Linked DNA regions of Oryzias latipes. The protein of the gene in region 6 purifies or fractionates together with the protein of the main gene of each other region. This does not show direct contact. Links are inferred from orthologs where the notes say so. Each region holds a gene or a part of one and is shown on either strand. Other genes may lie near its edges. The genes, in order: exoc3, exoc7, exoc2, exoc5, exoc1, exoc8 and ras-related protein Ral-B.

Region 1 (4,249 bases), on a different chromosome or scaffold from region 6:
TCAGGTCAATTACAATTAGCTGAAGGCGAACAACAGTGTGTGATGTGTGTGCGCCACAAAGTTGGTCACATTTTTCACGCATCGATTCTTAGATCATAATGGCTAAAGAAACAAGTGAGAGGGAAACATAATGAACCCTAGTTCTCATCTGTCCTCTACATGCAGGAACCTCACAGTGGCTTCTAGAAAGCACACACTCACCTGAGCAAACCTGCCTGCTCTGCACAGATGTTTGTATGAGAGCAGACGTCCTGGATGTCCAGACCAGAACTCAATGAAAACCCCAAACAAACAAATTAAGTTTAGTTTTAATTAAAAAATGTGTTTATCTAAATATAAATCTGGTTGGCCCAACTTAACAGATCCCCAATAGTAAACCTTGCAGACCAGAACCAGCAAACCACCAACCAGGCCTGCGAGATCACAGACTTTGGCGATGACTGCGCCGTACCTGAAAGACGATGGCGGGCAGAGTGGTCTGGTAGTACCCGTCCTGGTCAGCCTCGGGCTCGCTGTCTTTGTGCCAGTCCTTCTTGTCCGTTTCCAGAGCCTTCCGTAGCCACCCGGTTATATTCAGCTGCAGGCACAAACCCACAGTCACGTCAGCATCCCGTTTGGAAGCCATCAGCAACCAGCAAACCAGAGTTTGGGTGAGTTAGTGAGGTCGCGGTTGTGCACATGCACGTGTTAACCTGCAGGGTTGGGTTGGCCTGCAGAGCTGCTGCTCAGAGGGAAAACACCACTCGAGCGACAAATGCAGGGAACATTTTATTTCAGTTTTCTCTTAACCGAGAGTCACAGAGACAGACTGGATCTGAAACAGTGACACCCACAAACAGAATCTTATGTAATTATGACTCAAGGGGGCGGGGCCCCAAAAGCCCATCTTGGCTATACATTCATCTTGTGGTGAGTTCAGTGTCTGTGTTCATGCATTTTTTCAATCAGCCTTCAGCCCTGTTAGAAACAAGATCTCTGCACCGCTCAATGCTTACTGTGAAGGTCTGGATGTATTTACTCAGCAGGTGGTCCACAACCTCCTTTGGTAGCAGAGGCTCCAACTGGTTGATGTCACACTCTGAAAACAGATCTGGATGCCCCATCATCTCCGCGCTGAAACACAGAGCCACCCTTTGTCTGAACATGTCTCCTCCATGTGTGGCTGGATGGATGGATGGATGGATGGATGGATAAACAAACCTCTTATAGGTGTTCAAAACCCAGGTGAGCAGCGATACAATCTCATTGGCCTCCAGGTCCTCAGAGGCCAGTTCTTTGACTCGAGCAGACACAGCAGCGTGGTAGAGGCTAAAGAATCTGAAACCAGAAGAAACCTTCCTGATTGCAGGACATTGCTGAGGAACACGAGCGCTCCCGCAGTCAGAGCTTCTCAAGAACAGTCAAGAGAGCACTGATCGGTGATGGGACACTCCAGAGTCTCAAAACACTCCAGGAATTTTCAAATGAAAAGAAAGAAGCGTTCAGCTGCAACCACTTTTACGGTTCAAACCCTAACTGGCATTTGTGCATCAATATTTTACTTTAAAAGATGGCTTCGGGCAGAAAAGATGATGTAAACCATTGACAGTAAATGAGAACTGGATTGAGAGACTCCTCTCCCTGCCATTCCAAACAGGAAGTACCTGCTGTTTCCAAGAAGCCAAAATCCCACAGACTTCTATACAGAAATATGCATTATTCAAGTTATAAACTGGTCAATCAGATGCCAATCAATAAAAGTCTCCCGAACCTGCTTCCAGTGGAAGGGGTGTGGCCTGCTAACATACTCACTCCTGATTAGAAAGAGTAGTTGCCATGGAAATGTAGACGGACCAATCATGGCCTTATTGAGGACGTCTGCTTCCAACATGGCGATGGACACATCGCGGAAAAATAGCGACTCAATTGACTTCAAATGGTTGGAACCAGAAGCAAGGTATTTTCCGTGGCTGACATCACAGTTATGTATTATACAGTCAATGTGTTGGACCTGTTACCTGTTGAAGGTGTTGTAGTGAGGGGGGAAGCACTGCACCATGAGGTTTTTGACAATGATGAGGTCATCCACCACGTACTTCCTGGTTATCTCCAGTAGGCGAACCAGCCACATCTTGTCCGCCTCCCTGGTCACGGACTGCGTGCCCTCGATGCGAGTGCTGACGGTGTGCTCCAGAACCTGCAGAGCAAAGAGGTTGCAGGTTCTAGCTTTCCTGTTGTTTGAGTTGAAGCCTGTGAGACCGCGTGAACTCATTTACTGCACCATTACCAATTCTATTTTGGTTTGATTCCGTATCAGGTTCTTATAGAAAATCCAACACTGAAAACAGAGCACACTTCATCCTAACACGAGATGTTCCCAGAGTTCTAACAGAACTACGACGCGACTGTTGGACCTGATGATCATCAGACAGGCGAGGCCCAGATTAAAGGGAAGAACTTCTTAAACATGTAAAAGAATTCAATTCTGCTGAGCTTTGATGAAGGACCGCTGGTCTGGCTGCTCCTCTGACCTGAAACATCTTGTCCTTCCAGTGTTTGGGTCTCCCAGGTGGGATGAATCCGGTCTGTTTCCTTCGGTCAACCATTCGCCGATCAATCTTCTCCTCCCGCTCAATGATGCGAATAACCGACACCAGCATGGTGGGGTCACGGCGAACTGTGACCATGGACCTCTGCAGAACCATCCATAACTGCTTGGCCAGCTCATCTGACAGCGATTGAACCTTGAAGAAGCACAAAGACAGGTGGCAGTTCAGTTAACAGCTAAAACAGTTTATGTCCTGATAAGTATCTGAACAATCGAATGAATGATAGCTTCATTCATGGGAGAAGCCAGCTTAAGTCAAACAAACTTGTGCTTAAGAGTGGAGACAAACACCCATTTACAACTATAGACCTGTGTCTCTCCTCCCACAATTCTCAACAATTTTAGAAAAATTTTTTAATGATGAATTAGTTGTAGTTTTTGATAAACATCACCATCACATTATAAATGAAAACCAATATGGTTTTAGAGAAAACAGATCAGTCTCATTGACTATCATGGATGCGTGGAGGAAATCACAGATGTTCTGGACAAAAAGAAATATGCAGCACAGACATTGACTTTAAAAAAGCATTTGACTCTCAATCAAGAAATCCTACTTGACAAACTGGAAGGGTATGGGATAAGATGACTAGCACTAACTTGGTGAAAAGCTATTTAACGGGAAGAAAACAATTTGTGAAGATTGATGAATTTACATCAGAAGCCAAAGGGATAAGTTGTGGTGTTCCACAAGGATCAATTCTGGGCCCGCTGCTATTTAATATTCAAAGAGATTCAAAGAGGTTTATTATCATATGCACAATAAAGAAACGGGTTTCCCTGTACAATGAGATTCTTTCTTTGCTGCCTGCTCCGAATGCCAAAAGGAGAGGAAACTGAAGAAGAAGAAAAAAAAAAAAAGAAAAAGAAAAATTCAAACACAACATACGCACAAAACACAAGATGTCGGGTGGCAATACTAAAGTGCAAAAGTGACAATAACAGTAGCGGACAGTGGGGATGTGCAAAGGTGCAGTTGTTGTTTCAGACTCCTGTCAGCTGTTAAGGAGTCTGATGGCAGAGGGAAAGAAAGAGTTTTTGAGTCTGGTGGTCCTACACTTCACACTCCTGTACCTCCGTCCTGAGGGGAGGAGAGTGAACAGTCCTCGTTGCGGGTGGGTGGGGTCCTTGACAATGGAGGCAGCTCTCCTGCAGACCCTGCGTTTGTATATGCTCTGCAGCGAGGGCAGAGGAGTCCTGGTGATCTTGGACGCAGTCTTCACTACTCTCTGCAGGCGTTTGCGGTCCACGGCGGTAGAGCTGCCATACCACACTGTGATGCAGCTGGTTAGAATGGACTCAACCATGCAGCTGTAGAAGTTACTGAGGATCTTTGGGGACATGCCGAACCTCCTCAGCCTCCTCAGAAAGTACAGCCGCTGATGAGCTTTCTTCACCAGCTGTGATGTGTTTAGTGCCCAGGTGAGGTCCTGGCTGAGGTGGACCCCCAGATATTTGAAGCTGCTCACCCTCTCCACTTCCAGACCCCGGATAAGAAGCGGCTGATGAGGGTTCCTTCTCTCCTTCCTCATGTCCACTATCATCTCCTTTGTCTTGTCTGTGTTGAGGGTGAGGTTGTTGTCCTCACACCATGTCACCAGACTGGCCACCTCCCTCCTGTAGGCTGCTTCATCCCCGCCAGTGATGCGTCCTATCACAGCG
Region 2 (4,249 bases), on a different chromosome or scaffold from region 6:
GTCGATCGGCGCGCACCATTCATTTTACTGTCTTATTGGCTTAAAAAGCAGTGGCTACTCAACACAAAAAAGCTGAACCTTACGGTAAAAGGAGAAACTGAGATGGTTCGTTCTCCAGCTAATATGAGATTCTGCACTTATCTCTGTGTCTCCAGGTTTGTTTCTATTGGTTTGCAAAATTCCAGGCAGATTCTCGCCATTCTCCTCTGTCATTTGGCAGGAACTGTCTTCCTGTTCAATATTTCTCTCTCCTGTCCCCCACTGTAGCTAAAATCTATCAAATTCTTGACATGAGCAGGCTGGAAAGGAAGAAATGGATGCCTGGCACTGACTTGAAATTTGAATTCCCTTTGGGTGCTCGTGTTTGTGTATCTGCCATGATGTTTTCAGACAGACAGGTGGTGGGTGGACGTCTGCAGAGCTACACAAAGGAGCAAACCTTGAGATGCCAGCATGGCTCCTGCAGTCTCGTGGAAGTCCAGCAGCTGCTGCAGGAACAGAATGGCCTGAACGGAGACAGAGAGCTCAAACAAGCGGCAAATAACCGGAGAGGCAGTGCAGAGCAGAAACCAAGCTTACGTTGCTGGTGAGCTCATGCACTGTTCCATCTTTGGGCATGTTGTACTCTTTATCAGGATCATTCTGTAGTTAGTGGAGAGAAAACCCATGTAAATGACCAGCAGCCAATAGACAAGGGGTGGTTTAAGTGGGAGCCGCATGCCTTAATGCTGTCTGCAAACTCTTCCAGTGCTTTGGCTCCAATCGTCTCCATGGACGTGATGAGCGTTGGCAGTTTGTTCTTGGTGCTCGCCGCCGTTCCCTGCACGTCAAATCAAGTACAGTCGCTAAACACCCCAAGACCAGCTTCTTCCAGAAATGAGACGCCGCAGACCCAACCTGAAGTGTGGAGTCAAAGTCTGACTTGTTCATCTTCAGATGTCTGAGGATGGGGAAGATGGTGAGCACCGCCGAGTAGTCGTGGCGCATGATGGCCCTGCGAGCTGCAGACACAATGTTGTCTCCTTCCAGCATCAGGTTGTCCAATGCTTCCTGTGGACAGACATGATGAAACTGAGCATGCAACCAGAATGTGGCTTAGGGAAAAATGTCCTGCTTTTAATCATTAAAATCCTTTCAGCCAGATAAAAGGTGTCCGTGTCTATGGTAATCTATGGTATCAATGGTCAGATACGGTGAAGAAAAACAGTAAGAGTGACTAAAGAGTTTTTAGCGTCAACTGCTCATCTACTGGACACTCAACCAACAAACAGAGAATGACCTAAAAAAGGAAAAAAACTGGATGGTTGATGTCAGCAATCAGAGGAGAATGAGGTTTCAAATTTGATTGTTGCTTTGGTTTATTTTTTCTTGACTGTGGAGTTTCATTACTGTAGATGGTAGGGAAACCTTTAGCAAATGACCAACACCTGGAACCTCAGGTGGATGTTCTACAGAAGCTTTACTTTCAACAGCAGCACCTGATTAAATCCTCAAGAGCCCTTCCTGCATATCTGATGCTGTACTTCTGCCCGGTGATTACAGATAAAAGGATTGTTGAATACTTTTGTGTCACTACGTCTAACCCCTAAAACCAAATTGTCTGGGAAATCCTCAATGAAAGCTCCCTGGTTTGACTCCTCTGACCTGGATGAGGGAGTCAAAGGTCTTCTTCTGGTGGTGTTCAGGGATGATCTCGGTCAGCAGGGCGTACTCGCTCTGAGCCAGCTTCACAAAGGCACTGATGCAGTGGATGTAGGAGTCGATCTCGATGTCAAGAACATCGTCTTTCCCTAAGAGTTGCATAACAAGAGCTCCCGTCAGCTGACAAAACATAAGACAAGGATCTAAACAACAACTTCAGCCCGGAGTTTAACTTCTTACTTTATAAGAACTTGATTGTTAAAGGAAGAAACTGAGCTGAGGTTGCCTCTCTGATCAACCTCTGAACTTCTGGAATTCGTCACTCACCTGGGGCAGCCCCATGCTTCTCAGTCAGGGCCTCAGTGATGTGTTTGACCCGTGGGTCATGATCGTAACCTGGTGGGTGGGGCGGGCCAGCAGGGAGACTAGTCAAAACGAGGTCAAGACTAGGCTAAGAGGGGGGAGAGGGGACAAACCTGACCTGAACCGCCCACCACCAAGCACCAGAGAGAAAAGGCAGGGCGTGCCCACCCAAGATGAGTGAAATGTAAACTGGTTCTGAACCAGTCTACATGTTAAACTGTGGGACAAAAACCAGCTTCAAATGTCACAACAGCTTTGGATTCATTGCAGCTTTTGACAGATTTCCTGATGGGAAAATGGGAAAACCCCACGTCTGACACCAGTTTATCAGTTGGATGGGAGTTTAAGCAGAAAATGAATTCTTCTTTCCTGATAACTTCCCGACCCGACTTGATTGAAAGCTATTAATGGGAGAAAGGTCTCATGTGTTCATGGTCTACCGGTGCGAAGCCCATTGAGACGACTGTTGTTTGAATTTGGGCTCTACAAATAAACTTGAATTGAATTGATGCATAAATGAATCAATCAAAAAAGACATTTTAAAGAAGTAAGAGGTCAGATTTGGGTGCTTGTGCCACTTTTGACTTTATCTTCATCATATCAAACCTTTTAATTTCATTACTGATGGGATTGCTGGTTAATCTGTAGGTTTTCTAAAAACATGTCTTTGTGGGGGCAAAGGACGGAGTGGAGACTGAATTACATTGGAATAATTGAACTTAACATTGTTGGTGTAAATGCATTTATTTTGCATTTTTAGACAACCTAATATTCAAAGCCGGGTCAACTAAAATAAAAAATCCGTTTGAACTTTATTAAAAGAAATTTTTTTAGCAGAGCCAATTGACTTCAAGTGAGGTTTGTGTTAAAAACGCCTGAAGACAAATGTTTGCTTTAAAGCAGTGAAGCAAAAACATATTTGTCAGCCACAGATTCCTCAGGTCGTCCCTCTAAAAAGCTGAGTTTGGTCTGAGATGTTCATCATAGAAACACTTTAATGTGAGAGACAAAATGTAAAGAAAGAATGCAGGAAATCACAATGTCTGATCTTTAAATAATGATTGTATAATGGAGCAGAAAATAAGGATTCATCTAGAAGCCAGCAAGGATTCAGTTCCTCACAGACCCGTTCCTCCTTCTTTAAGAAGCTCTTCTATCCTCCACTGGTTACCTGTGTTCATGTCACCTGTTTGAACTGGTTACCTGTAGAAAAGACACCTGTCCACACCCTTATACAGGCAGACCTCTCCACCAAGGAGCTGTCTGAGGACACCAGGGACAAGTTTGTACACAGTCCAGAACTACAGGGGGAGCCGGTCAACGACCGGCCTGATCCGTATGAAGCAAAAGGGGAATTGGGTCACGTATGGGGAGATTTTGGACAAAAACCTCCTTCCAATAGGGAGAACATCAGGGATGGAACATGTCTGGATCTTCCAGCATTACTAAAAGAATCCCCCAAAGATCACCCAGCAAAGTAAAGAGTGTCTAAAGGATTTCAGGGTTCTAGAGTGTTCCAACGGTCCCTGGACCTCAATCCATGGAGAATCTGTGGAGGGAGTGGTTGCCCAGCAACAGCCCCAAAAACAGCACAGCTCTAGAGAAGATCTGCATGGAAGAATGGACCAAATTAGCAACTACAGTTCAGATCGTCTGAAAATCTTCAGGAAACCTTGTGGGGAACAGGAGCCAGCCTTGTGCTGTTTCTTACTATATAATGTTTTTTTCAACTTTTTTTTACTATTTCCCTGATGAACCACCCACAATGGAACTGCTACTGACAGTTACAAAAAGTCTATCGGTTCCAAACCTTTGACCTCTGTCATTGGAACCACATTACAAAGTACTGAGATGAACTTTTCTCAGTGACTGAACATTTATTTTCTGCTCTATTATACAAAGAAACTCAAACATTGTGCTTTCTGGATTCTGTATTCACATTGTGTCAAAATGTTTCTATAATGAACATTGCAGACCAAAGTCAGCTTTTTCAGAGGGATAACTTGCAGAATGGTTCCGTTCATCGTGAGTGCTGTCCATCATGTGTCCAATGATCTGAAGCGGTACAGTCTAGAAGCTGCTTTGGCCGGCTGTTGGGACTTTGTGTTTGACTGAAACCAGCTGGAAAAAAGAGACAGAGAAGACCAAGGTGCTTTACCTTCCAAAGGAGTGAGGTTAGAACCCCCCTTTTTCCCATCCAGCCCATGCTGTGAGTACTGTTTCAGAAGGTTCTGAGCCTTGCGAA
Region 3 (4,249 bases), on a different chromosome or scaffold from region 6:
AAAGTCACCAGGTTTTGACTAAACAAGTCTGCTGGTGGCTGATCTCTCATGCTCCTTGGGTCAATGAGTGGTGATGGTGGGGGTTTCCCTCATGGTCTCAAACGCGGCTCCTGGCATTCATCAGGTGATACCTGACGGCGTCTGGCAGTCCCTCCAGTCAAAGTATCCAGCGTAGATTCCAGGCTCTAGGGAGCCGGCGATGGGGTCGGCACGCCGCTCGATGTAAGCTTCAAAGAGTTTCCGGTCCAGCTCTCGGATGGCGTCCATGCTCACCTGGAGGACGAGGAGGGAAAGAGAAAGATGGCTGCTGTCATCTATTTCTTTGGACATGACCTTGTAAGTGGAAAGTAAAAAAGAAATTAAAAAGAATAAAAAGTGGATTAAGCTGCTTACATCGCCATCTGCAACACGTTCAAGAGATCACTTCCATTGAAAAGTCTTTGTAAACGCACATATATGTGCGTTAGGGCATCTGTGTTCAACACTTTAGCATTCATGTGTCGCTACGCACAATTTTAGGACTGTTTTTAGGCTCCATGTACAAAACATGCTGTCATCAAAAGCATGTTGAAAGTTAAACAAGTTTGATCTTTGACCAATCAGAGACTCTGATTTGGTAGTGACGCATGGATGGCATCCCTTTAATTGACGGAAGTGCCCAACGTTTGAAAATTGATCGTGGAAGAGAAATTAACAGCTGCACGTTGGGCTCAGCCGTTATTCTATGACAGCAAGTCTTTCATATCTCAGAATAGAACTGTGAGAATTGTAGCAAGATTCATAAGGTTTGCAGGGCTTTGACATTTCGAACCAAGCCTCTTCCAACTTTAGGCACATGCGCTAGTATGGGTAGTGACAGTCCAGTGTGAACAAATGTACAAACAAACAAATGTGTGCTAAATGTCCGTTTAACATTGGATCCATTCCTGCACTTTTAGAGCAGCAGAATGCAGTACTTATGCTTTCATTCCAGAGAGATTCTGTTTGAACGGATCTAATGTTTACTATCCTTTGACATGCTTGGCTGAGGAGCAAAGTGACATCCAGACCTGGGTCTTAAACACATCCATAAGCATAACCTAAAGCAGAAAAATTGAAATGTGTTATTATGAATCTTTTTTCCTCTTTGTGTTGTTCTGCAGTGTGGAGAAACACAAAGATTTTCAAAAAGAAAAGAAAAAAGGTTTAATACTATGATCGACTATTTTTTTCTTTGCCATCAGCTTAATTCTTGGCTGGAAGAGAGATGGAATTAAATATTATGAAAGAGTTGGCTTACGCCATTGACTATAAAGGAGAACTGGACTGACTTTGTTCTGGCTCCAACCAAATGAAGTCAATTCAGTCGCCATTTTTTCGCAATGTAGATGTTGCCATGTTGGAGCCAGAAATCGTAAGTAAGCAGTGATTGGTCCAAATCAGTTTGAGTCATCGTTTCTATGGCGACCACTCTTGCCAACCAGGAGTAAGCTTGTTGAAAGGTCACACCCCTATCTTTTGAAAGTGGTCTTGGTAGAATCTGTCAATCAAACTTTTCAAACAATTGACTTAAAACGCATACCTTCATTGAGGCATCTGATTGTTCAGTGAATATACTTGAATAACTTGAAATAAAGAATAATAATAATGGTAAATAAAGAGGATTAGCAAAAAATGTAGCAGAGTAAGAACGGTTATTCCTACAAATGGAATGATTGAGCAATAGCCGTTTATTTCTCTGAAAAAGTCTAGCTTCTTGGAACCAGCAGGTACTTCCTGTTTGGAATGCAAGGGGGGAGGAGTCACTCAGTCCAGTTCTCAAATATAGTCAATGGTTTGAACTGAGGCTTAATTGAAATAGACCCCCCCCCCCCCCAATTTTTATTTATAAATAATAGGTCTAAACCCTCCTAAATTAATTTTTCAGGCATCAAGATGGATTTTTTTAAAATCTTGTATATCCTTCAATCTGACATTGGAGTAACACTGCAAAGAAACCAGACTGAGACAAAGAGTAAAAGAACCAACTTAGCACACTACATAAGTTAGCACAATCTGAACTGGTCACATGGTGTGTTTGTGAGCAGCTGCTAGCATTATTTATGCTGCTCTGACACCAGCTCCTATTAATAATGCTGTAAAGGCAGCATGTGCAGCAGTGGTACAACCCTTCAATACTTTCTTCTTTTTCTTGTTTACCGTTAAATGTGTTTAATGTGGAGCAGCACAGCTCAGCAGTCTAGACAAATTATCATAGGCATCATGCTTTCGGGTCTAATTCAAACTTTTAACTTAATCTTTCAAATAAAGTGAGTTTTTACAGGAAAATCAACAGATCAAACCCTTCTTAGCTTTGTGATTCAGCCATTAGTCATTGTGTGCAGCAGTGTGACTATGTTGAGAACAGAGGTGAAAAGTGTGACTTTTTCTTTTCATTAGTCATCCCTTTGCTGAGAAACGAAAAAAAACACACAGATCAGTTTAGTTGTTGTAGTTTGTTTTCTTCTCATGACGCCTCCACACTTCTCCTCAATAGGAGTGTAACAGCTGCAGGTCACAGCAGCAGGTACTGACCCGCGTGATCTTCTCTGTTCCCGTGAAGCCGTGCTTTTCAAAGTGATCCGCCAAGTTCAGGAAGGTGCGTCTCTCCAGGTACTGGCAGTTGCTCAGAATGATCAGCAAACGCTGCTCCTGTTCATAAAAGAAAGGAAAAGTTAGATTGTAATTTAAGCCCAAGACCTTGTTCCAGCACAAACTCGTTTTGTTAAATAATCACATGTTTTTGAAGACCTAGTTTGCAGAAAATGGTGTTTTGGTATTTTAACATGTGTCTGTGGCATTTTTCTAAAGATGGAGGACATGTATATAAAGAAATTAATTGCATTTCTCAGTATTTCTTTATTCAAATCGTTGCGAATCAGGAACAGAAAAAAAAATGAAGTTTGAAAATTAGCTTTTTTAGCTGTAGAAAATACGCCAAACGCTCCCTGCTTAAAGCTCTCAGCCACCGGGAGGGAAGGGGTTTGGTTCACGCCAACGGTCCCACCCACAACTCAGAGGAGAGTTTCTAATGAACGACTGCTGCTCTACAGAAACTATGTCCTAGAAACTAACACAGGTTTTTAGACTTTGCCTAAAAATGGCATAAAATAATTAAAAGACCTCTGAGATGAGGGGGGGGGGATGAAAATAAGTGATAAAGTCTATTTCAATCCCTCCTTTTTCAGGGGTAAGGATGGGGTAAGCAGGGGTGGACCATTGACTGTATTAGAGAATATAAAATAACATCCCTATGCGTGTATTTGAACCACACCTAAAATAGATGTACAGTGATGGACAAAATTGTTGGTACCCCTCAGTTAAAGAAAGAAAGTCCACGATGCTCACTGAAATGACTTGAAATGTTCAAAAGTAACAATAAATTAAAATTTATTGAAAATTTGATAATCAAAATCAGCCATTACTTTTGAGTTGTTGATTAACAGAATTCTTTTTTTGTTTAAACTAATGAAATAGGGCTGGACAAAAATGATGGCACCCGTAACTTAATATTTTGTTGCACAACCTTTTGAGTCAATCACTGCAATTAAACAGTTTTTGTATTTGTCAATGAGCCTTCTGCTCCTGTCCACAGGTATTTTGGCCCACTCCTCATGAGCAAACTGCTCCAGTTGTCCCAGGTTTGACGGGTGTCTTCTCCAAATGGAATGTTTCAGCTCCTTCCACAGATGTTCAATGGGATTCAGATCTGGGCTCATAGAAGGCCACTTCAGAATAGTCCAACGCTTTTCTCTTAGCTTTTCTTGGGGGTTTTTGGCTGTGTGTTTTGGATAGTTGTCCTGTTGGAAGACCCATGACCTGCGACTGAGACCAAGCTTTCTGACACTAGGCAGCACATTTCTATCCAGAATGCCTTGATAATCTTAAGATTTCATTTTACCTTGCACAACTTCAAGACACCCTGTGCCAGATGCAGCAAAGCAGCCCCAAAACAGAACTGAGCCTCCTCCATGTTTCACAGTAGGGACAGTGTTCTTTTCGTTGTATGCTTCATTTTTGAGTCTACCAACATAGAGCTGATGTGCCTTACCAAAAAGCTCCAGTTTGGTCTCATCTGTCCAAAGGACATTTTCCCAGAAGCTTTGTGGCTTGTCAACATGCATTTTTTCAAATTCCAGTCTGGCTTTTTTATGATTTCCTTTCAACAGTGGTGTCCTCCTTGGTCACCTCCCATGAAGTCCACTCTGGATTTATTGTTACTTTTGAATGT
Region 4 (3,882 bases), on a different chromosome or scaffold from region 6:
CAGGTTGGCATTCTTGGCATCGGATGAGGGAATCGCTGAAAATTTAGGAAAAATGCAGCAAACGCAAACTTAAGCTATATTGATCATTAAATGTTAATGCTTATCGGCTAGTGAAAAAGAGATTCTAGCTCTAAAATGTTTCTAGCTCTTCATTATTGTGGGAGATCCTCAGGTTATGCTTTATTTAATGTCCCAACTTCCTGAATCTACTGCTTTGAAGCTCCTAATAGTGAGAAGAATGAGCCCTCAGAAAGCAGTTTAAGAGTACAATTTGGTTCATCAGAAGTACCTGAAAGGCCAATCTCCAGAGCGTAGTCGATGTGGTCCACACACAGATGTTCAACCAGCAGTAGGAAGATGGAGTAGGCATTTTTAGGCAGATCAGATGGATCTGAAAGCTGTAATAAAACAAAACAAAAAATCACCAAAGTCTGCGTTTATACATGTTCCTTCACGTTACAGAAGGAGAAGAGGCTCACCCTGTGACACCTCTCAAACGCGTGCCGAGTCTCCTGCAGCAGATTAACAACCAGCTCGGGGGACAGGAAGGTCTCTCCATGGGTGTCAAGGCTGGGGCCCAGTGGAAGGTTGGTGCGCTGTCTGATGCGCTCCTTGAGCTCCTGAATACTAAAGTAAAAACAAAAAAACGTTTAGCATTTTGATCTTTTTGTATGAAACCCTAACGTTTATTTGAGACCAAAAATGGCTCTTTAAATGATACCACATTTTCCTTGTTCTTGTTTTTTTTTTAAATTATATTATTAATTATATTATTCTTAGTCTTTTCTCCTGTCAGTTGTTATGGTAACGAACAAATTTCCCACGTATGGGATCAATAAAGTATTTCTGATTCTGAAATGCTTCATGACGTTTATGCTAAATCGTACCTGCCAGAGCCTATTGCACGTTTCTGGTGATTCTTTGAGTCATAGTATCGTTGCAGAATCATGGCACCTCGATTACGAAGGTATTCCCTTTCCATGTCAATGTAACTTTCCAAATAAGAGGAAAAGATGCTTTTTATCAGCTTGGAAAGGAACGTATGCTTGTCTGAACCAAGGTTGAACTCTGTTAGCTTGGTAGCCAATGCTGTGGTCCTGAAAGGTCAGAAAAGAAACAGATAAGAACAAAAAGTGTTAGAGTTATAGAGCATACAGGAAGTAAATTAGAAAAAGACAAGCAAAACCACCTGGTGTAAAGGTCATAGAGGTTTTTGAGGTACTGTTCTGCATCAGACTGTCGAGTTCCATCCAGTTTCTCTCTAACGTGCGCCTGTAAAATAAACAGCCAGCCAAAAATCAACAAATGTTTAAGTAATGGCACATCCAAACTCAATCACTGGAAAACATACCTGTAGTTTGTTTTCAAAGATATTCTGGATGAGTTTAGCCATGACTGTCTCTGGACTGCTGAAGACCTCGGCCACCTGCTTGTTGACCCTCTGGCAAAGCGCTGCGGTGTCTTCAAACACATCGTTCCTCGTGTAGGCACCCTGAGACAGGAACAACAACAAAAAATGGGTCAATTAAAGCAGCCAAGTCAAAGGCAGACTTTTTTCTTGCCAAACTTGAAGTACTCACTTCCTGACACTGCTTGATGTAGACGTCCACGCAGTGTGCATAACCCTATTTAGACAAACACAGGCGTTACCACCTTGATAGTCCAAGAAAATGACTATAACATTCAAAGTTGATGTTTTCAGACAGGCTATGACTCCAACACTCAGTCAACGTGTCTTCAGATGTCTTTTCCAGGTCACCTTGAAATGTAATAGAACTGCTGCAACCTCCCGCATACGACCAATCTCACCCCTGCGCTGGGCTGCAGTAAACTCCTGGATTAACTGCCTCTCCAGGTCGTGGTATTTGCCTGGGCAGGAATGAAAACAGAACCTTAAAATGTCGCAAACGCGTGTTACATCGTAGTAAAAATGGAGGACGATCGACCCGGTCAGAAACTTACTTGCAATTTTTGCTTTGACATCTGCAAATCTGTTACAGATAAAGTGCGCAATTAGAAACAATAGATATAAAAAAAACAGAAGGAAAGTTTCTTTGGGGGCATCTTAGTCAATAATACCATCTAATGCTTAATGTTTCTGTGGGGCTTACACTTTTCAGGAATAGACTAATACACCTCCTCCTTCTTGTTTGACAGCGCTCTTGTCTAAAGCTGCCTCCAGGATGCCTGACTCACCTGTCAAATGGCAGCTCCTGGGCAATGAGATGCAGCTTCTGAATTATATCAGCAGCTTCCTTAATCTGAAAGAGAGGGAACAAGTGTGTGTTTGAGAGGGAGCGAGGGAGATGCCAGCTGAGGGAGGAGGAGAGAGGGAGCACAACAAAGCCATTAGAGGTGGACATCCATTATCAAGTGGGCGGCCGCCGGCAGTGTCTCCACTTGGGGGATCATCATCTTAGAGCAGCCTTCCTCCACCTTCCTGTGTTTAACAGGGAGCTGATAACAGACAGGCTGCGCTCACCTGGGCATCAGCAGCAGCAACAGCAGCAGTCCTGACTTAGCAGCACATCCAAGTCTTTATTGGGATGGCTTTTTCCTGAATGGGCTGTAATCCCACAGGAGTCTGAATTGCCTTCAATAATCTGTCCGGCCAGGGATATCTGTCTAAAAAAAAGGGGGCCCTGCCGAGATACCCCTCCACCCCGCCCTCTCCACCTCTCCTGACATACATGCTGGCGAAAAAACCTCCAGACCCGCAAAAGGTCCGCTGTCCGCAACTCCTCTGTTCCTGCAGATGCCTGTCTCAGCTAACATCATTACTCTGCTCCCGTGAGGAGGATCCAGCCTTTCTGCTCGGCGAAGGTTTTCTAAGTATCTGTCCCCCAGCTAAGATTAGCTAAATCCCATGTAAGTAATGTAGCCGTCTCCCTGCAGTCAGGGTTTAGCAGCACTTGTCTCCACGCTGGCGGCCCAGCCCTCCCTTTCAGAAGGATTAGCAAAGCCATTCCCCTTCAGCTATTCACTTGCAGTTTTTCTCTTTCCTCCTCATATGGAGGTATGCTCAGGAAAAAGGAATCTGGCTTGATACATCTGCATGCATGGCTCAATCTCAAGCTCTCGTCTGTGGGATTGACCCTCAAACCTCCCTCTCTGCATCTGGTTGAGATGTTGCATCAAACACACATAAAACCCAAAAAAAACCCCAATGTGTCTACTTTGCAGAATCAAACTCTCTGGGGTCACTTGTTCTGAGAAAACATTGAATCATTTTTTCCATGACTAAAAAAATGTGTTGCAACAAACTTTCTGTGTGTTGCAAAGCTGACCAATCAAATTCTTGATCCCAGTCATCCCACTTTACATGCAATTAGGTTTGACATGAGCGTGTTGACATCCATGCTAGTCAGTCAGCCGGCTATTGTCAGACAGCAAATGACAGTTTATTAATCCAAATTAACTGAGGGATCCAACTAAAGGGATAAACTTTATAAATTTCCATGGATGGTTCAACTCATAATCCTGTTCAAACTCACCTACAGCAGTTTCCCAGCAGGGCCCCTCATCAGTGGTTTCACACCCACACATACCTCTTCATATATGACAGCAAAAAAAAAAAAAAAAAAGAAACTAGACGATAATCTCACCTTGTCTGGGTCATTGAAAACATCGCTACGCAGATCTCCATCCAAAAACTCGTTAAAGTAAGTCATGAGACGCTGAGCTTCCACGGCCCTCTGGCGAGGAGTATTCACCCCCTCCAGCTGGTCACCTAGGTGACAAACCTTGGTGGCAACGTAGCTTATGTGTTCATCGAGTTCTTGGAAATGCTGAAAGGCCACCTGACATGACACAAAACGAAGATCTAGCGGTTAACCAAAGAGAATAAAGTTTGTACGATGTTGTTTTCTTTCAGCAAACAGA
Region 5 (4,249 bases), on a different chromosome or scaffold from region 6:
AAAAGGGCGGCCCACAAGGGATGTTATAAATATGGCCCGACCAGGCTCGGCCATGTTGGAAGTTTGGCGGGGCCCAGCGCCCAGGGGCAAGGACCAGGACCCACCCCCCAGGGACACGAACACCCCCGGCTCAGGTGTAATATGAACCCCCCCACCGCATGCTTATATTATTGTTATGGTTATTATGAAGCGCCTGTTAGCTCATCATTTTATTTTTTATCCGTGTGGTCAGTGCTTTTTTGCGGCAGAACGAAACCGGAAGAATGGTTAGGTGAAGGCTAACATGCGCTAACAACAACATTTAGCCTGGATGAACATAAAATTGATGCAGGAAATGCCACAATCTGCAGCTTGGCTGAACGTAAATATGTGGGAATAACATAAGCCTTTCTTTTGTCAGGACACGACTAGAAACACAAATCCACGTGTTTGAACGGTTTCTAAGGACTGAGCGGCATTTTGCTTTGAAGAGCTCACACACTGCCAAAAAGCCGCTGTGTGAGATGGAGACGTGGTTCTCCTGAATTCGGCTGCTCGTTCACATAGTGCTGCGGGACAGATGGCAGTCTGTAGCCTCCCTCCCGTAACAAAGCATCCTCCCCGCCCCTCGAACACAAAAAATTAAGTCCGGCTGCGCTGCTCAGAGACACGGTTCGCTCCGTCCACCAGCAGCCGCGCCCCGCGTGCAGGGACTGGACGTCAGGGGGCACGAAGTGCTCTTCCCTGGTGCCCCCCTCGCGAGGGGTGTCGGAGAAGATAGGAAGGGAAAGACAAGGAGCCCGCGGGGCAAGGGCGGAGCGCAGAGGCGTCCGCGGAGCAACGGTGTGACACTGTTGTGGAAGGAAACTTCTAGCGCATGCCGCGCTGATAGGGGCGCTTTAAAGTCACTACTGCTCTCTTTTACTGGTATGTTTTATTAACCAGCCCCTTTACTACCATATTGCTGCCGCGGAAGGAGATAGGAGCTGCTCTCCCGTTCTCCCCTCCTTCCGTTGCAGCTCCCTCCTCTTTTTTAAACATGCACGCGGTTTCAGCACATATACAGTGAGGTCAATAAGTATTTGATTACCCTGTGATTTAGAAAGTTCTCCCACGTTCTCCCAGAAAACATGGAGGGGTCTAAAATTTTTATCATAGGTGCATTTCCACAGTGAGAGACAGAATCTGAAAAAACATTCAGAAATCATGTTGTACAATTTTTTTAAACAATTTATTTGTACATTACTGTGACAAATAAGTATTTGATCACTTGGGTTAAACAACTTTAATATTTGGTACAGAAGCCTTTGTTAACAATTACAGAGGTCAAACGGTTCCTGTAGTTCTTCACTAGGTTTCTACACACTGCAGCAGGGATTTTGGCCCACTCCTCCACACAGATCTTCTCTAGATCTGTCAGGGTTCGGGGCTGTCGCAGAGCAACACGGAGTTTCAGCTCCCTCCAAAGGTTCTCTATTGGATTTAGGTCTGGAGACTGGCTAAGCCACTCCAGAACCTTAATATGCTTCTTACGGAGCCACTCCTTGGTTTTCTTGGCTGTGTGCTTCGGGTCATTGTCATTCTGAAAGACCCAGCCATGACCCATCTACAACGCTCTGACTGAGGTAAGGAGCTTTTTTCTCAATATCTCACAATACAGAGCCCAGTTCATCCTCTCCTTCACACAGTGCAGTCGTCCTGTCCCCTGTGCAGATGATACTTCCACCCCCGTGCTTCACTGTAGGTATAGTGTTCTTGGGATGATGCTCCTCCTTTCTCCTCCAAACACGCCGAATGGAGTTAAGACCAAAAAGTTCTATTTTGATATGCTTCTTACAAGGCTTCTTACTGACCACAAGACTTTCTCCCATGACTCCTCTGGATCATCAAGATGGTCATTGGCAAACTTCAGACGGGGCTTGACATGGGCTGACTTCAGCAGGGGAACCTTCCATGCGATACATGATTTTAAACCATGACGTTTTAATGTATTACTTATAGTAGCCTTGGAAACGGTGGTCCCACCTCTCTTCAGGTCATTGACCAGCTCCTCCTGTGTAGTCCTGGGCTGATTCTTCCCCTTCCTTAGCATCATCGATACCCCACAAGGTGAGATCTTGCAAGGGGCCCCAGTCCGAGGGACATTGACAGTCATCATTAGCCTCTTCCATTTTCTGACAATTGCTCCAACAGTTGTTCTTTTCTCACCAAGCTGCTTGGCAATTGCCCCGTAGCCACTTCCAGCTTTATGAAGGTCTACAATTTTATCTCTTGCGTCTTATGACAGCTCTTTGGTTTTGCCCATGTTGATAGTTAGACTTCTGACTGATTGTGGGGGGGGGCACAGGTGCCTTTATGCAAGCTAACCACCTCAAACAGGTGCCACTAATTTAGAATCATGAGCAGAGTGGAGTTGGACTATTTAAAAGCAGAACAGCAGGTCTTTGCTGATCAGAAATCTATCTGATAATCAAGTGATCAAATACTTATTTTTCACAGTAATATACAAATAAATCGTTTAAAAAAAAATCATACAACGTGATTTCTGAATGTTTCTTCAGATTCTGTCTCTCACTGTGGAAATGCACCTATGATGAAAATTTTAGACCCCTCCATGTTTTCTAAGAGGGAGAACTTGCTAAATCACAGGGTGATCAAATACTTATTGACCTCACTGTACATCCTCAATCTACAACACAGTGTGGCGACCTGAGGGATAGCCCCACCTTAAGCCCCCAAGACTCATGGGAAGTGAGTAATGACCATTTTGTTGTTCAGTTATTTAATTTGTCCAATTACTTACCAGCCCATGAAATGAAGGGATTGTGTTTAGAAAATGCTTTAGTTTTTCACATCTATGTCAACATATTTATGGTCCTGACTGTAGGTGGATTGATGGTCATGTTCATGTATTTTATACCAATTGCAGTTGTCACCTTAACCCCCAGCTTCTTGCTGATGGTTCTGCAAATCATTCTGGTCTTGTGCAAGAGTACAATCGTCGCCCTTTAATCCACTGAAAGCTCTTTAGTGTTTCCCATGTTGGAGAGTTTGGAGTCTGACTAATGGACTGATTCTGTGGACAGGCGTCTTCAATTCAGGTAACAGGTTGATTAAGCGAATCTAATTGGTCTGTGCGAAACAGAACTCTTAATGGTTACTTGGGCATCAAATACCGTACTTATTTCCCTCAGTGAAATGCAAATAAATGCATATTAATTCATTAAAGACATTTTCAATTTCTCACTGTTCAAATGAACCTATCATTAGGATGACAGGCTGTCTATTTTTAAGTAAGCAAACCTTCAAAATCAGCAAGGTATCAAAAAAGTATTTCCTCCATGATTATTTTAAAAAGAAAAGTTCGTACTTGAATTTTTTTTACATGGAAATACAACATTAAATCCACATCTCATAGCAGCTTTTAGATGTCTCTGACTGTATTCTTCCTTTTTTTGTAAACCTCAGCAGAAGTACTGGTAAAGAAGTTCTAATAATGGCGAGTGTGTTACCTGGTGGACAAACACGTTGTTGAGGTGATTGGTGAGGCGGCGGGCAAATGTGTCCCTCAGATCGGTAAACATCTGCTGCTGTTGTTTCACAGACAACAGCTTTTCATGGCCTGAACAGAGAAAGGTGCACAACTTTCCATTCAAACGAAGACAAAAAACAGACGATCACGATAACAAGGCTTCATGTAAATTTACCTGGTCGGAGGGCAACATTCATGCACTGCAGAAGGGCTTCAGAGGCGTTGATGCAGGCCTCAATTCCTTTAGAGGAGGTGAGGTCCCCATCCTGCAGAGCTCTGATGTGTCCCTTAGACAAGTCCATGTAATTCTGCATGAAAAAGTGAGTCAAAGCCCATCTGAGAAACTCAAGCTCAATTCTCTGACACCTCTGGACTGATTCAAAGAATTTGTTACCACTAAGAACTGGATCTCATCCAGAAGTTTGCCGTTGTTAGTGTTGCTGATTTGAATTAGGCGGTTGCTCTGAGAGATCTGGTCCATCTGCTCCTTGACGCTCTGAAGCATTTCCTCATAGCTACTCAGTTTCCCCTCTATGGTGTCCACCTCTCCAAGTGCCTCATCTAGCAGCTGCATCAGGATATTCACCTGCTTCTCTGACGCCATGATGGACTGAATGTTGGCCTAAAAGAGACAGAAGATGAATATTGACAAAGATGATAAATATGGCTCTGAAATAGTTGGTTGTATTACTCACCCCATCTAAGACCTGCAGTTCCTTGAAGAGCTTTTCTGCAAAA
Region 6 (4,701 bases):
ACCTGTGTGGGGCTGTACAGCCAAGTGCTCTTGCACATTTTGTCTTTGGGAATGCTGCAGGCAACAGGTGGTAATGAATACTTATACAACATAAGGGAAAGGAAGGGTGAAGTAGGTGAGACGCAGCCATGTTCTACGTATTTTATAGTTTTCTTTACCCCCCCAAATCCTGCGCACGGTGCTGTTCAAGTGATAAGTGCGCACTCCTTCTGTGTAGCCTGACTGTTATGCTAACTCCACACTGGGCATGCATGGCGCTGAACGCGGGTTCTTGAACGCACTTTCAGCATACGTGCTCATACTGGACTGTCGCTACCCGATAGTAGCGCACAGTTATAAGATGCTTCCTGCGAAATGTTGAAGCGGTGCCAATCTTGCTCCAGGCTTTTTCTTTCACAGCTCTATTTTGATAAAGGAAGGCCTTGGTGTCATAGAATTTTGGCCGGGCACAAACCGCAATTAGTATTTCACCTCCAAGATTCAGTGTTTTGAAAAGGATGCTACTCATACCTCACTACCAAATCAGAGTCCTTGATTGGTCAAAGTACAACTAGTTAAACTTTCAGCACACGTTCGATTGCGTGTTTTGTACGTAGAGCCTGAAAACTGACCTAAAAACCTGCGTAGAGACGCGTCAACGAGAGAGCTTTGAACGCGGAGGCCCAAAACGGGCTTTTACGTGAGCACTTACATAGAATTTTCATTGAAAGTGGTCACTCAAACACGCATTTCCAAGCCTGGTGTTAACGTAGCATTAGAAATTTGATGATAATGGTGTAGTTTGTGTGAGTGTCCTGTCCTACGGACACTTACATGTCAGCATTTGCTTGGAGTCAGTAAGGAACCAGTACTCACTCATTAACCCTTGTGCTGTCTTAGATGACCCCACCCTTACATTGACATGTTCTCCCTACCATGACAAAGGTGGATAAAGGTGGAAAGATTTCATGTAATCCATGGACACCAGTGAAGATCACAAATCATTGAAGAAAAAAGGTTCAGCGAACTGTCTAGTGGGTCTAGATGACCCAACTCCCAATGTTAAAGTGCCTTGGATAGCACAAGGGTTAATAACGACTACAGTGTGGCAGTTTGGGCGGTGTTCGGCAACATCACCCGTATGTTATCAGTGCGTGTAACTTATGTTAGCCTTACAAATACTTCACAATATGCTTACCATACACAATGGTAGGTTCCATTTTCAAGGGAACTGCAAGACACACCTGTGCTCCTGTTAAGATGCGCCTTAAACTGGCCGGTCTACTTTCTACTCCCCTCCACAGACCTGGACAACCCAAAAACCCAGGGCACCTGTACAGGTCAGCCCCCGTACAGGTCCATGTGGCTAAAGCTTTAGTGACTCTGAATTGACCTTTAGGTGTGAATGTGTGAACTTGTTTGTCTCTGTGTGGCCCTGTGATGGAAGGCGAACTGTCCAGGGCGAACCCCGCCTTCACTGAAGAGTTGTTGGTTTAGCTCCAGTGACCCCATTACCCCAAACAGGAGTAAAGCAGGATTACACTGGTTGGTCCCTTAAAATGTTGACCTTCAAAACCTAAAATTAAATTAAAAGAAACTTTTTTTCAACATCACTTCCCCGCCTGACAGATCCAGAAGAGTGGGCTTTGAACACTTTTTTTTTTTTTTGCAAAACAAACGACATTGATGCTCCTAAATAAAAGTTTGAATTAAAAATGTTGCCTTTTTTTTGGCTTTAACGGACTAAAGAAAATGTTTTGGAAGTTAGTCAAACATCATCTCTTCTCTGTTTCTCTGGAAATTAAGAAAAGAACCAAACCAGGACCTAGTCTGATGAGCTGGGACACGGCACGTCGGGTCGCTTTAGGTCCACCACGGAGTGACCGATCCGGAGACAGCTCGAACACCAGCACCTCAGTCAGCTGTCGCACCCGCTCGTCCACCTTGGACCTCAACTCCTTGACCTTCTGAGTGGAGGGCTGGTCCTTCAGGTACTCGTTCAGTTTGTCCAGCAGGTCCACGGCTCCCTCAAAGTCCCTCTGGGCAATGCACACGTCCAGGTCCTCGGGGAGCTCCTGAATCCACTCGATACCAAGTTCTGCGCTTTCCTCTGCATCTGCTGGGTCCTCGTCCTCCAGGTCGAAAGGGTTGGTGGACACCTCAGATCTGATGGGGGACGTGGGAGCCTCCTCTTCCTTCTTGTGTCTGTCCTTAGACACCTTGTTCTTTTTGGTTTCATCAAGGATCTCCAGCCACTCCTTCTTGACCTTGCTGTTCTCTGCCTGGAAGATGCGGCTGTCCGGGAACATGAGGATCTTGAACATGTCCTTCATGGGGGGATTGTCCTTGACGTTGACCACGGCGAAGCTCTCCAGGTCGTACAGGTCGCTGTATTTGTACTTCACGGTGCCTCTGCGGTTGGGCAGCCAGGTGGCGATCAGCAGACAGTCGTTCATGAGGAAAGCATGGACCTTCTGGATGGGGGACATGTTGTCCACGTCAAACTCAAAAAGGTCTCCGTTGTAGACTAGGTGCCTCCCCGGGATGTCCATGATGTTCTTGGCTCCTTCGACTTTCTCCAGCAGAGAGGTGAGCGCCCTCTGCTTCACCTCCTCCGTCTCTTTGGGGAAAGCAGCCTGCATCTCCTTGGAGGTCTCATCCTTGTCTGTGGACAGCAAGGCCTGGGTGATGCTCTCCATGATGCTCTTCTGCTCCGTCAGGATGTGGCTCAGCTGGTACATCTCGCTCTCCAGGTAGGAAATCTCTTTGGCGGTTTCAATGAACTGCCTGTAGTTCTTATAGACATTTTTCTTCAAATTCTGGGCCGTTTCGTCGGCCAGGTTTTGGATTTTTTGCCGATGCTCCTGCAGATCCCTGTCGCCGTCGGACTGCTGTGACAGCTGTTTGACGTACGTTTGCGGATCGAAATTGGGAGATTCGAGAAGTTTCCGCAGCCGGTTCCCTGTTTCCGACATCTTTAGCTGTGTTTGCAATTATTTACGAACGCGAAATATTAGTAAAATGGCTATGAAATGTACGAACAAGACGAGTGCATCGAAGCTCCTTTTACATCCGCTTTCACTCCAACAGGAAGCTGTAAGCAGCAACACCCGAACGTCACGTGATCAGAAAAAGTTTAAAAATAAAATCGTAAAAAAATTATTTGATTATCTTTAGGCATAAGATAATATAAATTTTTGATTATGATTCGTAAACTTTATTCAATTGTAACAATTGAATAATTTAATTTAAATATCAGATATATGTTTACTAAAGTTCCCAGAACCCATCGCTAATATTTGTGCTAGCGATGCTTGCAATCTTTACCGGAAGTGGTAACCAAAGCATACAAAATAATTACATTGAATTATAAAAAAAAGATCACCGTCAAAGCTACCCAAATTAAACTATTGAATTTTTCTTTTTACTATATATATTGATATACTGAGCATAAAAAAGTGCCCATGTTATATATATATCACAGTGTTTTAGTTTAGACAATTAATTTTAAAACATATCATTATAATAGACAAAAATGATTAAGTAACCATATTTGGGACCAAAACGCCTTTAATAACTCATTTTTTTAATTTGAAAAACAATCACGTACGGGACTTCGCGGAACTTGACAGCAGGTTAGACCAAAAGACAGAGTAAAATTGCATTGATGCAAAAACAATTTCCTTAAAAGCTACGCGGCTTTCAATTTCAATTAATAATATACTAAGAAAACACATACGTGCCTACGTTTAGATATTCAAAATACTTTGAACAAAAACTTTAATATGTTTTATTGTGAAAAAAATAAAATAAAACATTACCGGAAGGTTTGTGGAAGATGACAGGAAGTTGTTGGCTCCAGCTTCTTACTCTTTTTTATTAAATTGTTTCCGTTTTTATGTTTAAGCGTCCGTTTTGCGAAAAAATGATGACATAAATTCGTTTTTTTCTTTATGAGTTTACACTGCTAAATGTAGTACAACTGGCGCACTGATTGGTTTTTAGAAGTTCGGGTTAGCCAAAGCTAAATGGCAAAATAGCAGCAGTGATGGACGAGGACTTTCTGCTCGCCGTTCAGCTACAGGAGCAGTTTGACCATGAATATGAATCTTCACTGGTTTCATCTCTAAGTTTTAACGAAGGGGAGTTCGGAAACAACAGCAAAAAGCGGAAAGTGGAGCTTGCCGGTGGGGCCAGGGATAGAAAGCCAACTTCCGGCGTTGAGCGGCCGCTAAGCATCGTGGATGATTCCTGGGAGATGCTGGATCCCAGCCCTGATGTTAGAGCCATGTTTTTGGAGTTCAATGACATGTTCTTCTGGGGCAAACTCAGCGGAGTGGAGGTCAAGTGGAGTCCCAGGATGACCCTGTGAGTCTATTCTGACTTTGGACATTTGGTTTAAGCTGTTTCGGAGCCTAAACTGACCTCACCGATTTAGATCAAAACTAAAACACAATGGATTTTTAATGGAAACGTTGAAACAGGGAAATAAAAGCTTTAGAGAAAGCAAAAAATTTTTTTTTCTCAAATAAAGTGGACAGATTTTGAAGAAAAAGCTCAATAAGTCAAAGTCAGCTTTATTGTCAAGTATGCAGCATACATACAGATTAACAGCACAGATTAAATTACTTTCCTCTCGCCCCACAGTGCAAGCAGCTTATAAAATAATAAAATAAAATAGAATAAATGCAAATAGATACATAAATTTAAGGTTATATTGAA
Region 7 (4,805 bases), on a different chromosome or scaffold from region 6:
CCTCCCGGGGCCGAGCAGAAATGTGTTTGGTCTTTGGGATCCAGCATCTACAACAGCCACAGCCTATGGAGATCAGGAAACGATTTACTATTCTTAAGAGGACGCCACGCAGCAGCAAAGAAAACATTTTCAAAAAGCATCGCACGACGAATACTAACAAGCCCCGGCAGCAGCAGCACACAGAGACGCCTTTGACTAAACTGGGCAATGAGACCTAAACCCCGTTTGTTCAAATCCCTCAACTTCAGCATCAGATGTGTTTGGTGTGGGGGGGGGTCAGGATTCAGAATGTGTGCAGAAATGGCTTCTGCGTTCACATCAGACAGCTGGCTCTCCCTCTGAAGCCGAACAGGACCGTGGTGTCCAAACACATCTGCCTCAGCAATCAAGGATCCAGAACAAGCAGGGAGGCGCTCGCGTTTCAGCATCGGGTTGGACACAAACCTTTTGACTTCTGCTAGGAGAATCGCTCCGTTCACTAACTGACAGGACAGAAGCTGCATTCCTTCTTTATCAGGGTTGTGTCCGAATTCCTTCACTACTCCCTACATAGTGCCCTGTATAGTGCCGTCGACATTTTGTGGTGCTGTCCGAATGCGATTCCAAAATGCCCTAAAAATTTCCCAGAAGTCTCTGCGAAAAACTAGTGTGCATCAATGCTCACTAGATTGGCGAATATAGACCACAATCCATTGCGTTGGAACAATTTACGCCCAAAAATGTAGTTAAATGTATTTTTTTAATAAACCATTTTTATCTTCAGAAAACAGTGGATTGATAAATTGCTCATATTAATACAATTTTAACAATGTGAATTTGATGACGTCATATCCGCCGTTTAAAAAAAAAAGAAAAGTAGTGAGCATGGTGTCCGAATTGCTTTTAAAATTCACGGCACTAGATTCTGCTGCACTATAAAGTTTTTTAGCAGTTAGGGGTTAGGGTGGGAATTGGGACAGAGCCTAGGTCCTGCAATGCCTTCAGTTAACCAGTCAGCAAACGCGAACAACGCTCCAGAGGAAACATTTTCTATTTGGGCCTGAAAGACCTGAGAGGGCTGAAGGTCAACTTCTGTGTTTACAGCTAAACACTGGTGTCTATTTATAAAATACTAGGATAGCGGGTTGTTTCGTGAAAGCTAACCTTTCCGTTTTTGCCATCAGTGCGTGAGAAACATCAGTGTTTTCAACGCTGTCCTTGACTGGAGCACCAAACAGCATCTTCAGAGAGCCGGTGTGTGAACATGTCAGTAAAAGGGTAGAAGGAGTGAGGAACTGTGGGAAGATGAAGATGTTATGGCTCAAAGTTTCAACGTTTCTCAGCTGGACTAGATATTTCCAACTGATGTCTGAGAAGTAAAGACCTGAAAACGACTTTTAACATTCTCATTCTTGCAGTAAAAATATTTAAAATTAGATTTGAAAAACTGGATTATATAATTTTTCTGCTTATGTGTAATAAGTTTTCTTTATCCACGACAAAACTTCTTGCCAGATGATTCTTTAGAAACACAAATACACACTAAATACTTTTTTTTCAATGATTTAGAGCTTCTTCAAAAAAAAAAATTAAAGATGATTACGTTTTATACAAAAAGCTTAAAATCAAGCAAAAGAGATGAAGGCGATAAAAATCGAAAAGCTTTGAAAAGTTAAATTAACACAATAAAACACATTATTGCTGACCTGTGGCGAGGACTGCAGAGTGGATCCAGAAAAAATGATTCTTATCTTTTTACAATCTGGTTACATCTGACGATTGGAAATAAAACAAGATGATTAGAAATATGACCAAATGCAACATGAGCCTTTGAAACTACTTGCTAATTGAGATGATCTACATGCAAAGTGTTTTGCATTAGTTGTTTTTCTAATTGAAAAAAGTTAGTTACACTAAAGTATAGTCTTCTGTGATGGGCATGTGTCAAAAACAGTTCAAAGTATCTTTAAGGTTTTGCAAAGGGACTGGAAAAAAGCTGAGTAAGGTCCTGGTTTTCCTGACTCTGCTGGGAATGTGCTGGGATCAGCATTGTCTGAAGGAGTCGTTTATGACGAAGGGGAGGGGGGCACGGGGGCGTCCGTGTGCAATTGAACACTGGCAGTTCATATCCCTGCTGGAACATTTAAAATACATTTTAAGGGATTCCTATTGATGGGAGTGTTCCTCAGACTGGGAAAGGTGTGTTTTGCTTTGCCAACAGAGTCCTTCAGTCTGACACACAACACTGTCATCTGCAAACATACAGCTCACTTTTATGTATTCGCACAGAAAATAGATTCAGCAACTTTTATTTGCATCTGATTTTCAAGTCTGCTAATAATCAAATGCATGAAAGGTGGTGGATCTAGAAAACACCTGCCGGTCGGTGTTTTTTATAGACTAGTATTGGCTTGTTATCTGACCAGAAATAGGTTTTAGTTTTGACATTCAAACGGCAACATGATGGCATGTCCTCCCATCTGAATATCATAAGCTGTTCGGTCAGAGAATATTATCCAGAACTCCCGTAAACATTAACAGACAGAAGCGGAACGACAGCAGTAAAGCTAGCGGTAGACCCGGACTTAAACCCGTTATTGCCTAGCAACGGCCGCGCAGCCAGGGAACTAACGGGAACGACTGAGCCAGTCCGCTCAAAACCACAAAACTGATGGATAACCGAACTTTAAACTAATTTATTTGAAACCAACAGACAGATGAGAACAAATAGCAATGAACACATAAAAACCTGAGTAGTTACGGCTCTGTCTGTCTCTCTGGGGCGGTCATCTCTCTGTCAGCCACCTTCCCTCCCCTTTAACATCACGCGACGCTTCTTTCTTTACATGTCCATAAACCCAGAAACACAAAGCTGCTTCACCTCTTCCAATCCGTTTGAACATGTCTTACCGAAAAAACACGTTGTACTTTCAGCCTTCAGAAGATGCTCTCCTCCCGGCTGCTTCCCTGTGACTGACAGAAGCATCGGAGCTACAAAACTGCTGCCAGCAGCAGTCCCCGCCTTCCGGAAGTCAATTCAGACCGAACGGCAGGAAGTGACGTCAGGACAGATTTCCGTTGGAGGAAAAATAACTGGACTTGCAAATACCTGAAAGGTTTTTTTCCTGGACGACAGAACAAAAACAATATACTGCAGAAATTTGAACAAAATGTTACTAAATAAAGAACCGCTTTCATGAAACTTCATATTTCCCCAAAAGTTAAAGAAACACACTTCAAAATTATGAATGATATTTATCCCTCCAAAGAATTACTTAGATTACGTTTCAACATTGATGACAACAGCTGTTCCTTCTGCCAAACTGCTGTTGAAGACATCGACCACACATTTTTCCTGTGTGGTGTTGTACAAGTGTTCTGGTTGGATGTTTGCAAATGGTTAAAAAATAAATTCCCATTCATCATGGACTTCTTTTCGAAAGAAGTAACAATCTTTGGCCTGTCACTACACAACAATGTAAATAATGTATGTATCAACACTGCGTTATGCTTAGCCAAGTTTTTTATACACAAAAATAGGTTACAGAAATGTCATCCCAGCTTTACTTTCTTTACCAATGAGGTCAATTTATACTTACAATCCATAACGTTAATCGATTCACCTAAAGCCATAACAGTTTATGACACCTTGCGTGATATTCCCAGTATCTGAGACAATTTATTTATCTGTTGTATTCCCCTGCATTTTGTAACACTATCCAACTCTGAAATTGTTGTTTTCTTATGTTATACTTTTCCCTAATTTCTCTATGATTATGAATATGGATAGGTTTATGTATGCATACTGATAAGAATTTTCTTTTTTGCTTCCTCTCAAATTGCGTTATGCTTTCTTGTATCCACCATATTTTGGGAATTTTATGTAAATGTTCTGGTGTTGTTTTGTATTGTGCTCAAAAATAATAAATAAATAAAAAAAAGGACTTGCAAATACCTTTTTATTTTTGTTTTTCGTAAATCAAATGTAGTTTACTGTCCACTGTCACTTTTTAAACTATTTGGATCTTTTACTGCACCACAATGTCACAAATGTAAATAAAAATACCTCAGCAGTTATTAGGTCAGATTACAAACAGGTAATCAGTAATTAATCCTTTAAAACAAAACGTTAGTGCTGTGTATGACAGCACTAACGTAAATCACAACTGATAAGGTCAAACAATACACTTAACAACCAAAGCTGTTTGGGTCTGGTGAAGTGGTTCAGGTCAATGATTTTGAAGGTGCAATAACCGTCTTCTCCACCAGGTGGTGCCAGAACATCACAAAATGACCTCTTTTTGTAAACTCTGGCTGTAAATCAAACTACATCATGTGAGAGAATTTTCACCAGGAGGGGATTTTCTTCTAAACGTCATGTTCCATTTGGGTTTGTTACGTCAAGGTCAGATCTCATTTTCTGTCCTGAAAGTCACAGAAACCGTTTGACGTTCTTGCAGTGTTTTTGCAGAAGGGAGTTGCTGCTAAAGGTTGTTGTCCAATGACAATAAAGTTATTTTTCTTTAGTCAGTTGGATGTCACACAGAAGGCACACTTACACTGACCTGCATCACTCCCCCTCTTTGGCTGGAGGCTCTTTCGTTTACCAACAATGACAGTTCTGTGCTGGGAGCCGCATTTCCCATCATCATGACGGCGTTTGCACTCGCTTGATTTCATGTTTTCTCTCATAAACTGAAGTCTCACAGACCTACAGAGGCAAATATAGCATCGATGTCATCATGAGAGCCAGTGGTCTGAAGCGCCAGCTCCGGTCTGCTCTGCTGCTCGTCTCGGTTCAGTTCTGTCACCGCCGTCTTTCTCGG

The links.
Region 1: the proteins of exoc8 (region 6) and exoc3 purify together in Homo sapiens (affinity purification with mass spectrometry; 5 studies listed by BioGRID and IntAct, counting the BioPlex papers as one, with this or other methods). This does not show direct contact. The link is inferred for Oryzias latipes from reciprocal best matches to the Homo sapiens genes EXOC8 and EXOC3.
Region 2: the proteins of exoc8 (region 6) and exoc7 purify together in Homo sapiens (affinity purification with mass spectrometry; 4 studies listed by BioGRID and IntAct, counting the BioPlex papers as one, with this or other methods). This does not show direct contact. The link is inferred for Oryzias latipes from reciprocal best matches to the Homo sapiens genes EXOC8 and EXOC7.
Region 3: the proteins of exoc8 (region 6) and exoc2 purify together in Homo sapiens (affinity purification with mass spectrometry; 7 studies listed by BioGRID and IntAct, counting the BioPlex papers as one, with this or other methods). This does not show direct contact. The link is inferred for Oryzias latipes from reciprocal best matches to the Homo sapiens genes EXOC8 and EXOC2.
Region 4: the proteins of exoc8 (region 6) and exoc5 purify together in Homo sapiens (affinity purification with mass spectrometry; 5 studies listed by BioGRID and IntAct, counting the BioPlex papers as one, with this or other methods). This does not show direct contact. The link is inferred for Oryzias latipes from reciprocal best matches to the Homo sapiens genes EXOC8 and EXOC5.
Region 5: the proteins of exoc8 (region 6) and exoc1 purify together in Homo sapiens (affinity purification with mass spectrometry; 3 studies listed by BioGRID and IntAct, counting the BioPlex papers as one, with this or other methods). This does not show direct contact. The link is inferred for Oryzias latipes from reciprocal best matches to the Homo sapiens genes EXOC8 and EXOC1.
Region 7: the proteins of exoc8 (region 6) and ras-related protein Ral-B purify together in Homo sapiens (affinity purification with western blotting; 6 studies listed by BioGRID and IntAct, counting the BioPlex papers as one, with this or other methods). This does not show direct contact. The link is inferred for Oryzias latipes from reciprocal best matches to the Homo sapiens genes EXOC8 and RALB.

What each region holds. Positions count from the first base shown.
Region 1 is NC_019875.2:5,005,622-5,009,870, reverse strand, and holds part of exoc3 (exocyst complex component 3), read right to left. Parts: intron 2,724-4,249; coding exon 2,511-2,723; intron 2,177-2,510; coding exon 1,998-2,176; intron 1,318-1,997; coding exon 1,201-1,317; intron 1,114-1,200; coding exon 996-1,113; intron 578-995; coding exon 452-577; intron 1-451. UniProt on the Homo sapiens protein: Component of the exocyst complex involved in the docking of exocytic vesicles with fusion sites on the plasma membrane.
Region 2 is NC_019877.2:22,403,015-22,407,263, forward strand, and holds part of exoc7 (exocyst complex component 7), read right to left. Parts: coding exon 4,163-4,249; intron 2,038-4,162; coding exon 1,969-2,037; intron 1,791-1,968; coding exon 1,645-1,790; intron 1,051-1,644; coding exon 898-1,050; intron 821-897; coding exon 722-820; intron 643-721; coding exon 580-642; intron 507-579; coding exon 440-506; intron 1-439. UniProt on the Homo sapiens protein: Component of the exocyst complex involved in the docking of exocytic vesicles with fusion sites on the plasma membrane.
Region 3 is NC_019862.2:21,228,004-21,232,252, reverse strand, and holds part of exoc2 (exocyst complex component 2), read right to left. Parts: intron 2,671-4,249; coding exon 2,554-2,670; intron 274-2,553; coding exon 132-273; intron 1-131. UniProt on the Homo sapiens protein: Component of the exocyst complex involved in the docking of exocytic vesicles with fusion sites on the plasma membrane.
Region 4 is NC_019880.2:12,941,445-12,945,326, forward strand, and holds part of exoc5 (exocyst complex component 5), read right to left. Parts: intron 3,801-3,882; coding exon 3,606-3,800; intron 2,262-3,605; coding exon 2,197-2,261; intron 1,992-2,196; coding exon 1,963-1,991; intron 1,870-1,962; coding exon 1,760-1,869; intron 1,626-1,759; coding exon 1,581-1,625; intron 1,493-1,580; coding exon 1,352-1,492; intron 1,273-1,351; coding exon 1,190-1,272; intron 1,098-1,189; coding exon 888-1,097; intron 628-887; coding exon 480-627; intron 399-479; coding exon 290-398; intron 36-289; coding exon 1-35. UniProt on the Homo sapiens protein: Component of the exocyst complex involved in the docking of exocytic vesicles with fusion sites on the plasma membrane.
Region 5 is NC_019862.2:97,939-102,187, forward strand, and holds part of exoc1 (exocyst complex component 1), read right to left. Parts: coding exon 4,207-4,249; intron 4,134-4,206; coding exon 3,906-4,133; intron 3,820-3,905; coding exon 3,687-3,819; intron 3,602-3,686; coding exon 3,492-3,601; intron 1-3,491.
Region 6 is NC_019882.2:17,525,309-17,530,009, forward strand, and holds the start of exoc8 (exocyst complex component 8), read right to left. Parts: upstream 3,082-4,701; 5' UTR 2,955-3,081; coding exon 1,805-2,954; intron 1-1,804. Other genes in the region: sprtn (sprT-like domain-containing protein Spartan), read left to right, coding at 4,028-4,347. UniProt on the Homo sapiens protein: Component of the exocyst complex involved in the docking of exocytic vesicles with fusion sites on the plasma membrane.
Region 7 is NC_019870.2:7,306,688-7,311,492, forward strand, and holds the start of ras-related protein Ral-B, read right to left. Parts: upstream 3,033-4,805; 5' UTR 2,890-3,032; intron 1,752-2,889; exon of another isoform or gene 1,686-1,751; intron 1,275-1,685; exon of another isoform or gene 1,144-1,274; intron 1-1,143. Other genes in the region: nepro (nucleolus and neural progenitor protein), read right to left, coding at 4,683-4,805. UniProt on the Homo sapiens protein: Multifunctional GTPase involved in a variety of cellular processes including gene expression, cell migration, cell proliferation, oncogenic transformation and membrane trafficking.